Macaca mulatta: one gene and its partner. The protein of the gene in region 2 purifies or fractionates together with the protein of the main gene of each other region. This does not show direct contact. Links are inferred from orthologs where the notes say so. Each region holds a gene or a part of one and is shown on either strand. Other genes may lie near its edges.

Region 1 (7,548 bases), on a different chromosome or scaffold from region 2:
CCTGCCTCAGCTTCCTGAGTAGCTGGGACCACAGGTCCCAAGCCCACCAAGCCCAGCCGATTTTGTTTATTTTTTGTAGAGATGGGGGGAGTCTCTCTCTGTTGCCCAGACTGGTCTCGAACTCCTGGCCTCCCACCTCAGCCTCCCAAAGTGCTGAGATTAGTCTGGCCAACTCCCAACTTTTGTATTCAATCTCCATTCTCTACTTGAATGTCTAACAGAATCTCAAATTTCATGTGTCCAAAATCCCAGGGCCAAGGCCCTCCATTTCTCATAGCCTCTACCATGCCTACCCAGGCCCAAACCCGCAGCTCCTCTCATGTGTCAAGTGGTACAACTCCCTCTAACCTGGAAGGCTGCTCTTGCTTCTCTCACAAAAACCAGAGTCATACTTTAGGAACTTTACATCCACTCATGTATCCTCTACTCACCCTCCAGTGTGTTCATCTCACTCAAAAGAAACGCTAAAGGTCCTAACTATCACCTACAAGATGCCACCAGATATGGGCCCCTCACTGACCTCAGCTCTCCTCTCACCTCCCAAGCAAGGGCTTTCCCTTGCCATTTCCTGTGCCTCACGCTGTTCTTCCAGGTATCTTCCTGAACCTCGTGTTTCCTTCAAGGCTCTGCTTAAACATTACCCCATCAGTGATGCTGTCTACCCTAGATAACAGAGAAGTCCCCCCACACCACCACCGATTTCCTACCTCTTACCTTGCTTTCATTTTCTCTGAAACACTTACCACCTAAATTCACCATATATTTATTTGCTTCTTTATTGTCTCCCCAAAGAGGGTCCCTAAAGGCAGGGACTTCATTTCTAATGTAAAACTTACTAAGAATTCAAAAATATCTGTGGCGCTAATGACATCTTTCTCAATGTCACGTTGAGCCCTTACACATTTTTCCCATACAGCTCAGAACTATATTATCACACTTTCAGATTCTAACTGGAAGGAATATCATTAATTTCTAGTTGCCCAAAGGACTTAGGTCCTCACATTCTATCAAGATTTCAGTATGAACAAACGGGCATAATCAGCTTGAAAACAGTGGTTCTTAAGTACTTACGTGGGCAATGTCTCCTTTTGTGCCGATGACCCGATCCTGGGAGTGCTTACTGAACTCAACATAGTGATCTTCTGTGAAGGAATGCCTGTGGACAAACAGGAGCACTGAAGTGACAGATCTTCAGGACATATTCCTGCAACCAACTGAAACATGGGTGACCCCCAGCCTCTTGCACAATCACACTCACCTAAAGATCCTGGACTCCCAAAGAGGAAACAATCATACACTTAGATTACAAAGAAAATTTCTTCTATCAGCTTGTCCAAGCAGATACAAAATAATGAATGGGAATTCCTTAGAGAAATGACAAACAGGGCATACGTGCCTTTGAAACACGCAGCAAAGGGGCCAGCCACGGTAGCTCACTCCTATAATCCCAGCACTTTGGGAGGCTGAGGCAGGTGGACTGCCTGAGCTCAGGAGTTCGAGACCACCCTGGGCAACATGTCAAAACCCTACCTCTACCAAAATTGCAAATTAGCCAGGCATGGCGGCACATGCCTGTGGTCCCAGCTAATCAGCAGGCTGAGGTGGGAGGATCACTTGAGCCTGGGAGGCAGAGGATGAAGTAGGTCATGCTTGTGCCACTGCACTCCAACCTAAGTGACAGAGTGAGACCCTGTCGAAAGAAGGAAAGAAAAGAAAAAGCCGGGCACAGTGGCTCATGCCTGTAATCCCAGCACTTTGGGAGGCCGAGGTGGGCAGATCAACGAGGTCAGGAAATCGAGACCATCCTGGCTAGCATAGTGAAACGCTGTCTCTACTAAAAATACAAAAAATTAGCCAGGCGTGGTGGCTGGCGCCTGTAGTCCCAGCTGCTCAGGAGGCTAAGGCAGGAGAATGATGTGAACCCAGGAGGCGGAGCTTGCAGTGAGCTGAGATCAGGCCACTGCACTCCAGCCTGGGTGACAGAGTGAGACTCCGTCTCACAAAAAAAAAAGGAAAAAAAGAAAAGGAAAGGAGACGAGAGGAGAGAGAAAAGGAGAGGAGAGGAGGAAAGAGAGGAGGGGAGAGGAGGGGAGAGGAGAGGAGGGGAGGGGAGGGGAGGGGAGGGGAGGGGAGGAGAGGAGAGGAGACACAGCAAAGACGGCAATGTCCTATGTGAACACGGGAAAATACATAGATTCTGGGTCAGGGTCTGCTGCATAATGAGAATGTATATACCTCATAAAAATATCTAGGAATTAAGAAAGATAAAGTCTTATTAAACATGAGTCTTAGATGAGGAAGAGAGAAGTTAACAATAACTGACAGCATCCTCTTTCCCCAAAAGCTTCGTCTAAAAACCAAATGAAAGGGGGTCTAAACAAACTAGGTAAATAAAACACAGACTAGGTTCCAAAAGCAGATACATACTTCATATCAAATACTGATTTCATTCCCCAAAGTGCAGACAAAGGCTGGCTCCAAGTAGCAGATGTCAGCAGCAAGGACCCATCCTAAAAGAAGGCACAAGGTGGGTAACCGTGCATTTACATACATGCAGATGTCACTACCTGCCATTAGCATTTTTAAATATATGCATAAAAATGTTGTTGAATTAAAGAGAAAATTTTATAACCCACAGAAACCAAGAAATGGTCAGAAGCCACTATGATTTGAATACATATACCTATAGTGTCCTAGAAAATAACTAAACTTAGGAGAGTATTAAATCCTACTGAACTAGCCACAAAAATAGAACAGATAAAAGGGAGGTGGGAAAAATGAGACGATGTCAAAGATAGTTCCTTTCTTCCTAATAACTTTGCCATATTCCTCAGTCTCCATCTGAAATATGAGTTAACCTCAACCAGACTTTCCAGTTGAGAACTCATTTAAAAGAGAGAGCTCAATAAAGGGTAAGCCTCCTTTACTCTAGTTCACTAATTCATCTTGGAAGAATGACTGACAGCATCCTAGGAAGGAACCCTTACCCTGGAAGGTTCAAGATGTGTGATGGCTGAGTTGTGACAGTTATAGCTGGCCTCCTCCTGTCCACTAAACACATTATAGAGCTTCAGCTGCCCTGTGCAGGTGCCAAGCATCAGGAACCGCTCCCGAGCTGAGAATGCACAGCAGGTGAAGCCACTCTCATCTTCATTGGCTTCCCGGAACACTGAAATAGGACGGAATCTAAGCACAAAAAAAAGGAGAGAATCAGAGGCAAAGAATGTGCAGGGACTCAGAAAAAGCAAACTGCTAGGACAGAAGAAAAAGCACAGAACATTAATGTTTCAAATGGGTTCTTCCAAAATCACAGTGACCTTCAGTGCTTTTTATTTTAAATAAGAAAAATATTTCCACTTACAAATTTAAATAACAAAAATTCCCATGTTTAGGCCAGACGCAATGGCTCACAACTGTAATCCTAGCACAGGTGGGGGGATCAGTTGAGGTCAGGAATTCAAGACCAGCCTGGTCAAAATGGTAAAACCCCATCTCTACTAAAAATGCAAAAATTAGCTAGATGTGGTGGCGCCTGCCTGTAATCCCAGCTACTTAGGAGGCTGAGGCAGGAGAATCACTTGAACCTGGGAGGCAGAGGTTGCAATGAGCCAAGATTGCACCACTGTACTCCAGCCTAGGCGACAGAGACACTCCATCTCAAACAAACAAAAAAAAAAATTCCCATGTTTAAAACCTGTGATCCCATAACCTTTATGTAAGATTTGTCAAGAATCAGAACAGGAAGCCACTTGCAACAGCACAAGTTTGGGAGCCTCCTTATGGACAGTAATGAGGGGGTGTGGGTTCTAGAAAACATACTAGTTGAGATGAGAACACAAAGGATTATATCAATATACTGCCAACAATCACACAAGGAGCCCATGGTTGACAAAAGGTGATACAATTACATTGTTCAAGTATTACACAAAGTGACAATCAGTGGTATTTCAAGCCAACTATGCTGATACTGCCCAATTTGATTTAAATAAAAGAATCGTTCCAATTCCCAGAGAGTAAGAAGGGGCCTTCTTCTTACCTGCTAAAGATAAGGTGCCTATCAAAGCATCCGCCATCCACCCCTCCATACTTTGGAAATGATGCCCTGCGGTTTAGCCTTGAGGTAAAGTTTATTGGCGCTTGCCGCCTCTGTTTTGGCTCAGGACATTGGTGAGGAGTAAAGAGGGAGAAAGGTGGGCAAGTGGCAACTGGATTCTTGCAGCGAGCATGTTGTTCTCTAAGATACTCTGTGATTATACTGTCCAGCGTAGGTGGGGAAGGAAGATGTCTGTCCAGCTGCTTTTTTATGGCTGGGCTTTGGCTGTAGGCGCCATGGTCCGACTTCTGCCGCAACACTCTGATTTTCCTGCCATTACAGGGTGACGGCCTCTCTCTGATAAAACTGATCCTACCAATCAAAGGGGAGTTGCCAGCATAAGATGGGCCGGGCAGAGCTAGTGGACCCTGGGGAGGCCGTGGCTGAGGATGGGCAGTGGGGGCAGAAGGGGCAGAGGCACCCACGGCAGCATGGCTGCCCAGTCGAGTTGCAATGCCATTAGCGATACGAGGGGTTCGGGGTAGAGAGACAGGAGAAGCAGCAGCAGTGACTGGGGTAAAGGCAGAAGAATGGGAGGCAGCAGTCATGGGCAGGTCGGCCTCTTTTGTCAGCACGGTTGCTGTTTCTCCAAGCCCTTTAGAAATAAGATGGTTTCGTATCAACAAAAGCAGCTCTTTCTCAGGGAAGGAGATCCTTGACTGGGCAACAACATCTGCTTTCTGCAGTCGTGCTAGGGAAACATCAGTGCCAATGAGAAGTGGTTTTCCTGACACCCGTTCAATGAGTTCAGCAGCATACTTGCAGAACTTGACATGGTCACTGCGCTTGTCCTGCAGCACAGGCTCCTTCATCAGCTGCTGGATCTGGCAGCTGCTGAAAAGGGGCAGTTTACTGATGATCTGCCGGACAGTGCTACTGCGAGACAGGCCCACCAGGGCCTTGCAGGCCAGTGCCCGGATCTGGTCTGCATCTGTGATGGGCATCTTAATGGACAGTAAGGACAGGAGCACCTTGATGCCGTTGTTGGACTGAACCACATTCCACATCTTGGCCAGGGTGTGCTCACTGCTTTTGGGGTTCTGAGGCAGCTTTCTCCGAGGAGTACCAGAGATAAATTTACCAATACTGGATATGCGGTTATCTGGGCCACACACACAATTGATGATAATCTGAAGTGCTGACTTCTGAATTTCAGCATCATGGATGAAGAACTCACCCTCAGCCACTCCCAAAATAATGCTGATACCTAATGGGAAAAAAAAAATTCTGTATTATTCATCATAAAACTAATGACCAATTTCAATAGTTGTTCCAGAGTCAAAATTTGGTGTTCCACTCACTTTGTTTTACTTTAAAAAACTACATTATTTTTGTAAAAACTGCAAGGAATTGTTTGTATAAAGTACAATCAGTTCTACTACAATGTATTTTTATGATCTCATATGCAGTTATTAAATAGGGAAATTATGTCATAATTATGGAAAAGTCACCAAGGTTCGTGTGTAATTTTTTCTGGTTTTATTATTTTTTTGAGGCAGAGTCTTGCTCTGTCACTCAAGCTGGAGTGCAGCGGCACGATCTCGGCTCACTGCAACCTCCGCCTCCCAGTTCAAGTGATTCTCCTGCCTCAGCCTCCTGAAGAGCTGGGATTACAGGCGCCTGCCACCACGCCCAGCTAATTTTTATATTTTTAGTAGAGATGGGGTTTCACCATGTTGGCCAGGCTGGTCTGGAACTCCTGACCTCAGGTTATCCACCCGCCTCAGCCTCCCAAAGTGCTGGGATTACAGGTGTGAGCCACTGCGCTCGGCCTTTTCTGATTTATTAATTTTAATACATTAAAACCTTAGGAATGGAGAAAGCCCTCAGTTGGGCTGCTACTGTGGAAGCAGAACCCTTTCTACTTTATTTTAAGAAAATTAAAAACAAGTGCCTGTGTCTTAGTCCTATCCTGCATCTTGTCCTGTCACACAACTTCCCATGCTCACCCCAGCAGTGCCCTGATCACCCCTGCTCTTAATAATGTATATTATCAAAGTGTATTTTCCTTTTTTTATATATGTATGATGGTTTCTACCCATTTTGAGCTACCTGCCAATTACTAACTCAGGTTACAAAATTGCTCACTTTGTTTTTTTTTCCCCTTTAACTCCTGGAAAGCTGTGATGCTTAAGTTTTTTACTATCTGCCTCAACCTATTTTTCCCATGAACTTTTAGTGCAAGACTCTGCAGAGTGTGAGCTTTTCAGGAAAGCTATAATATACCATTATAGCAGAAATGCCAGAAAACCTGAGTTTACTAGCATGACCCCCTTAAATCAAACTATCTGGTACTACGTTTGTATTTTTGTTTTCTTTTTTTTTTTAATTAGTTTCTGATCTGCTGAATGGTATTCCTTATAAAGGACAGACAAGGAGCCCCCCTCTACTACTTTTGTTCTGAAATCCAAAATTAGGTCAGGTAGGTAACCACAACCAGAGTGGCAAAGAAAAAACAAACCCAGACCAAGAAACAACAAAAATGGCAAAATATAACCTACCTACAGTAGAGACTGTAGATCCAGCCTCATCCAACACGTCCACTGATTCTGCCAACTGGAGCTGGATTTTAGGGACCACAGTAAGAATAGCCAGGACATCCAAAGCAAAGCGCACAGTGTCATTCCTGGACAGTAAGAAGAATTAGTCAAAGGGAAATTAGAATATAGCCACAAGAACCAAGAGAGACAGAGATAGAGAGACAGAAACAGACACACGCACACAGAGAGACTATAAATCAGAACCGCTACCAGTGTGGCTCTATCTCGAGCTGTCACAACAAGAGAGGATTTTATAGTTACAATGACATTACTTCCAAAAAATACAGCAATAAAATTTTTACCTATCAAACTTCTACAATAAAAAACACAGAATAATCCTGAATCCTTTCATTCTAGCGAAAATATATAGACACACACACTCTCAAACTTTTGGTGAGAGTAGAAATTAGCACAATCTTTCCAGAAAGTAATCTGGAGGCCAGGCTCGGTGGCTCATGCCTATAGTCCCAACACTTTAGGAGGCCGAGATGGAAGGATCACTTGAACCCAGGAGTCTGAGACCAGACTGGGCAACATGGTTTTATATTTTTCTATTAAAAAAAATATAGGCCGGGCACAGTGTCTCACGCCTGTAATCCCAGCACTTTGGGAGGCTGAGGTGGGCGGATCATGAGGTCAGGAGATCAAGACCATCCTAACACGGTGAAACCCTGTCTCTAATAAAAGTACAAAAAATTAGCCGGGCATGGTTGCGGGTACCTTTAGTCCCAGCTACCTGGGAGGCTGAGGCAGAAGAATGGCGTGAACCCGGGAGGCGGAGCTTGCAGTGAGCCGAAATCGTGCCACTGCACTCCAGCCTGGGAGACAGCGAGACTCCGTCTCAAAAAATATATATTTTTATATATATATACAAAAGATATTAGCCGGATGTGGTGGCACCTGCCTGTAGTCCCA
Region 2 (8,041 bases):
ATAAAACTATCACTTTCCTGGACATCTACATTTTCTCTATTGCAGAACACAGGATTTATTGGCTGGAATATTTTGATAGTTGCTTGATTTTTCTTTTAGGCTCGATTTGTCTATTTCATTTTCATTTAACAGATCCACATTTATCTCTATAAAACACATTTTTATCCCACTGAAATGTTTCAATATTTGCTCATTTTCTTTTCAATACATTCCTTGCTTCTTGTATTGGTTTCAGAAAACTTTGAATAATCTGCATTCTTTTTTCTTTTTTAAACTTCTGGCACTTGTGTGTTCCTTATATCTTACGATTCAGAAGTATAAAACATTTTCATGCTTCATGACTTTGCTAGTTCTCTTCTCATTGCCTGGAAAGCTATGCCCACATTCCTCTCTCTAACTACCTCTCCTACAACCTTTAAGACTCAACTGAGAGTTTGCCTTCTAGAAATTTTCAGAGTCCCCTTAAGGACACAGTATTACTCCTCTGGACCTCTTTAGCACCAGTGCACTTTAGCACATGATGACACACAAAGCATGCTATGGATTCCTAATTCCTTTTTAAATTATCACAGCACTTTGTGAGGCCGAGGGAGGCAGTTCACCTGAGGTCAAGAATTCAAGACCAGCCTGGCCATCATGGTGAATCCCTGTCTCTATTAAAAGTACAAAAGTTAGCCAGGCATGGTGGTGGGTGCCTGTAATCCAAGCCACTTGGAAGGCTGAGGCAACAGAATCACCCGAACCTGGGAGGTGGAGTCTGCAGTGAGCAGAGATCATGCCACTGCACTCCAGCCTGAGTGACAAAAGCAAAACTCCATCTCAATAAAAACAAATACCAAAACAAATATTTTAATTATAGAAAGCATGTATTTGTGTACCTCTTATGTAATTAAGATATTTAAATTCCTGGGGCTGTTAATTGCTTTCTTCTTGAGAGAACATGAGTGTCCTCAGATTGAAAAGCATAGAATGAAGGAAAAAATCTATACAAAGACATATAGTGAAACTGAAGCATATAAAAAACAAATACATACTCCATACGCCTCTGAGAATGAAGAATATATCACCTGCAAAGATCCAAAAATTAGATTGAAACTGATTCTCAACAACAAATCTACTTGAAACAAGAGAATGGAATCATTTTTATATAATGCTGGTCCAAAATCCCATATAAATTGCTAAACAAAAAGTTTAGAAATGGGAAGTTTTGATTTGTTTTGTGAGTATGACAACACAATTAACTTGCAAAATGAAACCAGATGTGAGATTACAGGAGGCTATGTATGATTTTTATTTATTCCACTTAAACACAAATATTCATATATTTTGATGCTGAAATATTAGTGCTTTTGTTTTTGCAGTAATGACACTGATAACATTGGGGTTTCTAGAAAAATGTGCATTAAATAATCTTTTAAACCTCCAAGTTCTGATTTTCAAAACATATCGAGCCTCCCAGGTACGAAAGAAATGCTCTCATCTTGTCTTGAAGGAAAAAATAATTTTTAAAACTAGAATTTCAATCTAAACAAAATGATATTTAAACAAAAGGTCCCCGAAAACTATTCTCTGAACCTCAAGGCCTTAGTAGTTTTTCCAGACAAAGATGCACACAGAAACATTTTTGGAAGAACTTTTCAATAGAAAATTAAAAAAAAATTTTTAAAAAGCTGCAGGCCAAAAGACGAGTAAGAATGAAAAACGAACTTGATTATGTATGCCTATGTCTTAAAAAGAAAGCCCTGATCAAAGAAAAGAGAAACAGAAAGTATACCAACATGGTGGAGGGAGGGAAGAAAAAGAATGTGACAGTTTACTAATGTAATTGTCTTAGAGGGTGAGATGGAAATGTAAGTTTAAAAAAAAAGGCAAGTAGGAGAATATAGAAGAGTTATAAATTGAAGTGAAGATAGCAGAAACAGGCCAAAATATGTTAATTATTAGCCTATACATAAAGAGCTTAACTAATTAAATGAAAATTTTTATCAAATTTGATTTAAAATTTCTGTATGTATGTTGTCAGTGAAAGATCACTGAAAAGTGAAAAAGAAATTTAAGTTATCGTGCAAAGAGAAACTAGAAGAAAGCCAGCTTATCTATGTTAGAATCATTTTTAAAAAGATCTTAAGACAAAGAGTATTATCAGATACCACATGGTAAAAGGGTGAATTCCTGGGAAGATACAATAATTTAAATTATAGATTTATCTAATAATAATAAATGTATATTATTTTTCATTATTGTATAGTCTTTCATGATAATATATTGATATATATTTATCTTCATATACACACATATGTACACACATTGCCACAAATATATATATTTATATGTGTATGTTTATGTTTAGAAACGTATGCATGATCACATACCACACGTAATATACATTATATATATGCATATGAGCATATCTATATATTATATATATAAATTTGAGAGAAGTACAGGAAAATACCGTCTTATAATAGGAGTTTTTATATCTTCCAATACTAAATGAAAAAAGTAAAAAAATAACATTTTTACAAATTTGAGCAACATAATTGATAGCAGTATTTATCTAACATACATAAATTCTGAAATCAACATTTAAAATCTCATATTCTAGTCAAGTACACTGAAATACTGCACGAGGCTATACAGAAAGACTTCGAAAAATTCTAAACTTTGCAATATAAATCTATTTCAAATTGACTTCCCTGCCTCTCCCCTATACATTGCCACTAGAAAAATAAAAAATCATTAACTTTCAGGAGGGCAGGAAGTAATCTTAAAATGACTGAAAAACTGCCTTTTACACCTGGTGTAGAACGATGCTTATATAAAAGTTAAACATACTTATGAAAATATTGACACAAATTATTTGAATAATTGTGTTTGCAAAATGGATAAATTTTCTACTGTGTTTTCATTTGTAGAATATTACTTACAAAACGTTCTCACATACGTTTGTGTGTGAGAATATGTTTTGTAAAATTGAGATAATACCATAAAACACAGCTCTACATCTAGATGTCTTTTTTACTTAATATTATTTCCTGATACTTTGTGCACCACATTATCTTGTCTTATTTTATCTTCTACTTTCATTTTAGGTTCAGGGAGTACATGTGCAGGCTTGTTAAATGAGTAAACTGTGTGTCGCCGAGGCTTGTTGTACAAAGATCCCATCACCAAGGTAGTGAGCATAGTACCGGATAGATAGCCTTCTAATACACATACTGCTCCCACCTTTCCCTCTCAAGTAGTCCCCAGTGTCTAATGTCCCCATCTTGTGTCCATATGGATTCAATGTTTAGCTTCCACTTGTGAGAATATGCAGTATTTGGTATTCCTGTGTTAGTTCACTTAAGATAATATTCTCCAGCTATATCCATGTTGTGCATATACAGTGTGGAATACTATGCAACCATAAAAAAGAATGAAATCATTTTCTTGTCTTTTGCCTAGACCCCTGAGGCCACCAAGCTTTCTAACCTCAGAGAATATATACTCAGAGAATTTGTTTTAAAATCTGCAATGATCAAAATGCATATTCCTTCATTTGTGCCCCAGTTGTAGAATAAAGGATATCTACTATCTCTGAAGTAAGTAAAGAATTGGAAGTAGTAACTGCAGTTTTCACTTTTCTGAATATAGTTGATACCAGCTCTACTCCCTTCACCCCACTGCTCTGAAGAGCCAATATTAATTTTTCCCTTGTGATTTTGTGGATTTCAAGGAAACATCTAGATCTTTTCTACAAAAATACCCACAGTACTCACCTTACTGGAAATTTCTTCAACAGTAGTCCAGATCTTGAGATCTTCAGAAATGTAGGAAATGAGGATTGTTTTGAGTAGGAAAATCAATCAGTAAAGCTCTCAGAAACTGAAATACCAGATGTTATAATCTCCTGAAATGCTAAGAAAATGAAGTATTTTCAAAGACAGTAAGGGAAAATGGCCGTCCTTAGAGTCGCTTCACTTGACTAGTACTGGCTTCCTCACACTCTGCTTTGCCCTAGGGAGAGAGGAGTTGTGAAACAATGTGCAGACTCCTCCCACCTCCCACCAGTGTTTTTTGCTTTCCATCCTGTTAGAGAAAATGAACAGTTTCTTTCCTGTAGGTATCTTATCAAAGTAAAATTTATATCAAAGTTATATTTAAAATTTTTTTTTTCTTACAAATGTTGATATCTGAATGGAGTTCCAACCTTAAAACTTTCTTAGCCAGCAGATTTACATGTGGGTCATTAGGGACCTCTATTCCGATGAATGATTGTCAAATATAAGAGGAAGCAAGGTGGCTTCTTCTCCCTCCTTTCCTGTGCACAGAGTGGCAGTTGCAGGAGGAGATCTTGGTAGGAGCATCTATTGCTACCAGTACTTTACTGCATCTCCCACATGGGAGAATGTCTGCTATGAAATGGCAATTGGTTTAAATACTACCTGAAGCATTCACCCAGTTATTAATAGTTGACAAACCTAGGGCTTTCCATATCAGAAAGTTATTACCAATATATAAATCCTTTCTCAAATATATATGAAGGAGTTTAACACTAGCTGTCCTCTTGACTATGACTAGGTTACTTAACCTCAATGATTAGATTCATGACTACTCACGTTTTCTTCATTATTCATGGAAAAACACAAGTGGATAGTGGGCTTGCAACATGACAACATCGAAGCCTTGAAAATCCTGGAAAATGCACTGAACTTCTGGTAGGGTGAGAGTCCTGTTAAACCATTTTCTCAGCAGTATTTTTTCTGTTAAGGGCAGTGGGTGTCCTTCAGAGTACTGTAGCCCCAAGATGTCAAATAAATGACACCAACTGGCAGATGATGTTGTGTTAACCCAGCAGCAGATCTGCAAGCAGGATGTGGCTGTGAGTGGAAAGTGGGGCCCCAAATATAGCTGTAGGGGAGAAAACATATATTTTTTAAATTTCCCTTTTTAGGTTCTTAGCTGACACTCTCCTGAAAACGCCAAATTAACGAGAAAAACAAGCAGTTTATTAATGTGTGCTCTACCTATCATAAGGGATAGGCCTCAGTTCAAAAGTATTTCTCTCTCCAGGCTGTGGCTTAGAAACCTTGTTTAAATAGTGTTTCAATAAAGAGCCATAAATCCTTTACAGTGAAAAGCAAAGGAGAAAGCAGTCCCAGTCATTTAAAGGTGGAAAAATGTGGGATGTTCCCAGATTCCTCAGGTTTCTGGTGGTGCCTTCTCTGGGCTGAAAAGCAAGTGCTTTCTCCAGTAAATAAGGATTTATGTCCTGCCATCAGGCAAATAGTGCCTGAGGCAGCATATTCCCCTGCATTTTCTGTGTGTTTAACTTAATAGTCCTAAGTATTTTGAGAAGTATTTTTGGTTTCCTTCACAAATAATGCAAATGATCTGAGGCCATCTTGGAGCAGAAGAAAGCTGATCATCTTAGTACAAACTGGGGTCACGGAGAGGATAGTTGAAGTCTGGATTTGGAAACATATGATAACTTTATCAAAGCAAAAGTAAGTTAAGAAAAAGCAAGGAGGATCTGGAAGGGTGGCCATAAAAATACCTTTGAGTGTTCATGGTTTTATAGGTTTACGTGCTGTTAATGTGGAGACACTGAGTTGGTTTTAAGATAATAGGTAGAGAAGGATATTAGGAAGGTCAGGTTACCCCAATTCAAAGGTCAGAGAGTAGAGGAAACTTGGTAGAAATTATCGTGTTTCAGGACATTTTTCTCTCCCCTTTGTGGTAATAATTTCATGCAGAGTAATGCCTTTGGTTAGGACTCCAGCATACAACACACAAATTACTGTCACCAAAGACAATTCAGAACATTGCTCCGTAATCCATACTGTGCAGATAAAATTGTAATAGATGAAGCAAAGAAATGCTTTAAAAATGTGCATTTGTACTGATTCTGAAGCAGTGGGCAATAATTTGCTATTTGTGCCATCACACAGAAAGCACATTAATAGAACATACAAGAGATCCTGATAAGGGAGAAAAAGTCTGGATGAACCTGCATGACTTTATCATCTGAAGTACTAATTCCCATGCTCATTCAAAGTCCTCAGGAAAAGTTCCCACCAGATTAATATGCTAACCAAGATGTTAGTAAATTACTGCCTATGGGACAATACTAACACACCATCCACTTTTGTAAGTAAAATTTTATTGAAACACAGCTGTGATTATTCACTTATGCATTGTCAATGTCTACTTCATGGTGCAATGAAGAGTTGACAAGCAACAGAGTACATCTGGCTGCAGAGTGTAAAGATTTTGCTGCATGGCTTATTACAGAAAATGTTTGTCAGTCTGTACCCAGTCATCAGTCTAGGAGACAGCAGAAAGCCTCTAAAGAGAAAAGCAAAAGTAAGTAGAAGAGCAATGTTAAATCAAGGTTAGCCTAAAGCTGGCTTCTTACATATTCTAAGTTCAGCCTAAAGGTTTTTCATGCAGCGCGAATGATGGCCTAAATGGAAGTGTAAATGGACTGTAGTATACTCTTGGGTCAATCACCAAGTTCTGGCCAATCAAATGTGGCCCACTTGTTCAAACCGCATTCAAATAAGGCAAACTCCGAGCTATAAGCAATCCAGCTCTCTATCTCATGTCCATTTTCTGTATCTCACTTTTCTTTTTCTCTTCATAAATCTTTCACTATGTGGCTGTGCTGGAGTCTCTGAGCCTACTCTGGCTTGGGAGGCTGCCTGAATAACAAATCGTTCGTTGCTCAATTAAACTCTTTTAAATTTAATTCAGCTGAAGCTTTTCTCTTAACAGCAATCACACCAACAAACCACATTTGGGACTTTTAAAGTCCATTGTAAACCCAAGGATAAAGGCTTGTGAAAATTTTTGTGATCTCAGAGAGGAAAATGGAAATGCAGAGTGTTAAAGCCTTTCTCTATCCCTAAGAGTCAGAACAAAACCCATTTGTATGGGAGCCTCCGTTAGCAAGATTGCTTTATGCATTCATGACCATCGGCCACCTGAAACAGGTGCCTTCTCCTTTTGTCTCTCAAGTAAATAGTTTTCTGTTTCTCAGGGAAGAGGGAAGGGTGATTGAGTTTTAAATGTTGAATCAATCTTACATCCCCGAGATAAAACACTTTTAATGATGCATTATAATTTATCATATTGATAAGTATATTGGTAAGTATAATTTTTCAATATTTCAAAAGTGTTTTTACATTTATTTTCATGTGAGAATTGGTTTTTGTTTTAGTTTCTGTGTAATATCTTTAATTGGGTGTGACAGCAAACTGGCATTTCTAAAACAGATTGTATAGACATGGTAAACTTTTATCCTCAAATGTCTGATAGAATTCATAAAGTGTCTATTCCTAAAACTTTCACTATGGAAAGATTTTTGTTACAACTTCTCTTTCTCTAATAGATATAAAAATATTTAGTTGTTTTATTTCCTTACAAGACAGTTTTGGTAAGTTGTGTTTCATGGGAATTTTTTCTGTAACAAATTTGTGTTTTACAGGAATTACACAAGTAAGTAAACAAACTTATTTGCATAATATTGTTCATAATATTATTTTATTACCATTTTAATATCTGCAGTGTTATCCCTTTACTTTCCTGATACTGGTCATTTATATTATCCTCCACTATTTTTCTTGCTTATTCCTGGTAGACTGACTCTCTGAGGAGGATGCTCAGGGAAGTTCAAAGTCAAGAGGAGTGACAAAAAGGACAGTAAAGGCAAGAGGAGTGACAAAAAGGACAGTAAAGGATTCTGAAGTGTTTGGAACCTACATCTAGGACAAAAGGTAAATAACATTTTAGCACCTAGCCAGACTAACAAAAAATCTCATACTAAAGGTCTATTTATTTCAGTTCCTATTACCTGATCATATATATCTTCCTTTTGACAACAACAACAACAACAAAAAGAAAAAGCCAGGTATGCTAAAGACAAGGAAAAATAGAGTCTGAAGAGTCAAAAGAAGCATTAGAAGCAGACTCAGATATGACTGTGATGTGGAAATTTGCTGACAGGGAATCTAAAGTTACTGTGATTAATGTATTAAGAGCTCTGATGGAAAAAGTA

Evidence for each region.
Region 1: the proteins of PYHIN1 (region 2) and DCAF1 purify together in Homo sapiens (affinity purification with mass spectrometry; 3 studies listed by BioGRID and IntAct, counting the BioPlex papers as one, with this or other methods). This does not show direct contact. The link is inferred for Macaca mulatta from reciprocal best matches to the Homo sapiens genes PYHIN1 and DCAF1.

Annotation. Positions count from the first base shown.
Region 1 is NC_133407.1:114,892,008-114,899,555, forward strand, and holds part of DCAF1 (DDB1- and CUL4-associated factor 1), read right to left. Parts: intron 6,720-7,548; coding exon 6,595-6,719; intron 5,301-6,594; coding exon 4,037-5,300; intron 3,187-4,036; coding exon 2,988-3,186; intron 2,511-2,987; coding exon 2,428-2,510; intron 1,157-2,427; coding exon 1,072-1,156; intron 1-1,071. UniProt on the Homo sapiens protein: Acts both as a substrate recognition component of E3 ubiquitin-protein ligase complexes and as an atypical serine/threonine-protein kinase, playing key roles in various processes such as cell cycle, telomerase regulation and histone modification.
Region 2 is NC_133406.1:107,980,285-107,988,325, forward strand, and holds the start of PYHIN1 (pyrin and HIN domain-containing protein 1), read right to left. Parts: upstream 4,813-8,041; 5' UTR 4,602-4,812; intron 3,992-4,601; exon of another isoform or gene 3,901-3,991; 5' UTR 3,762-3,900; intron 1-3,761. UniProt on the Homo sapiens protein: Major mediator of the tumor suppressor activity of IFN in breast cancer cells. Promotes ubiquitination and subsequent degradation of MDM2, which leads to p53/TP53 stabilization.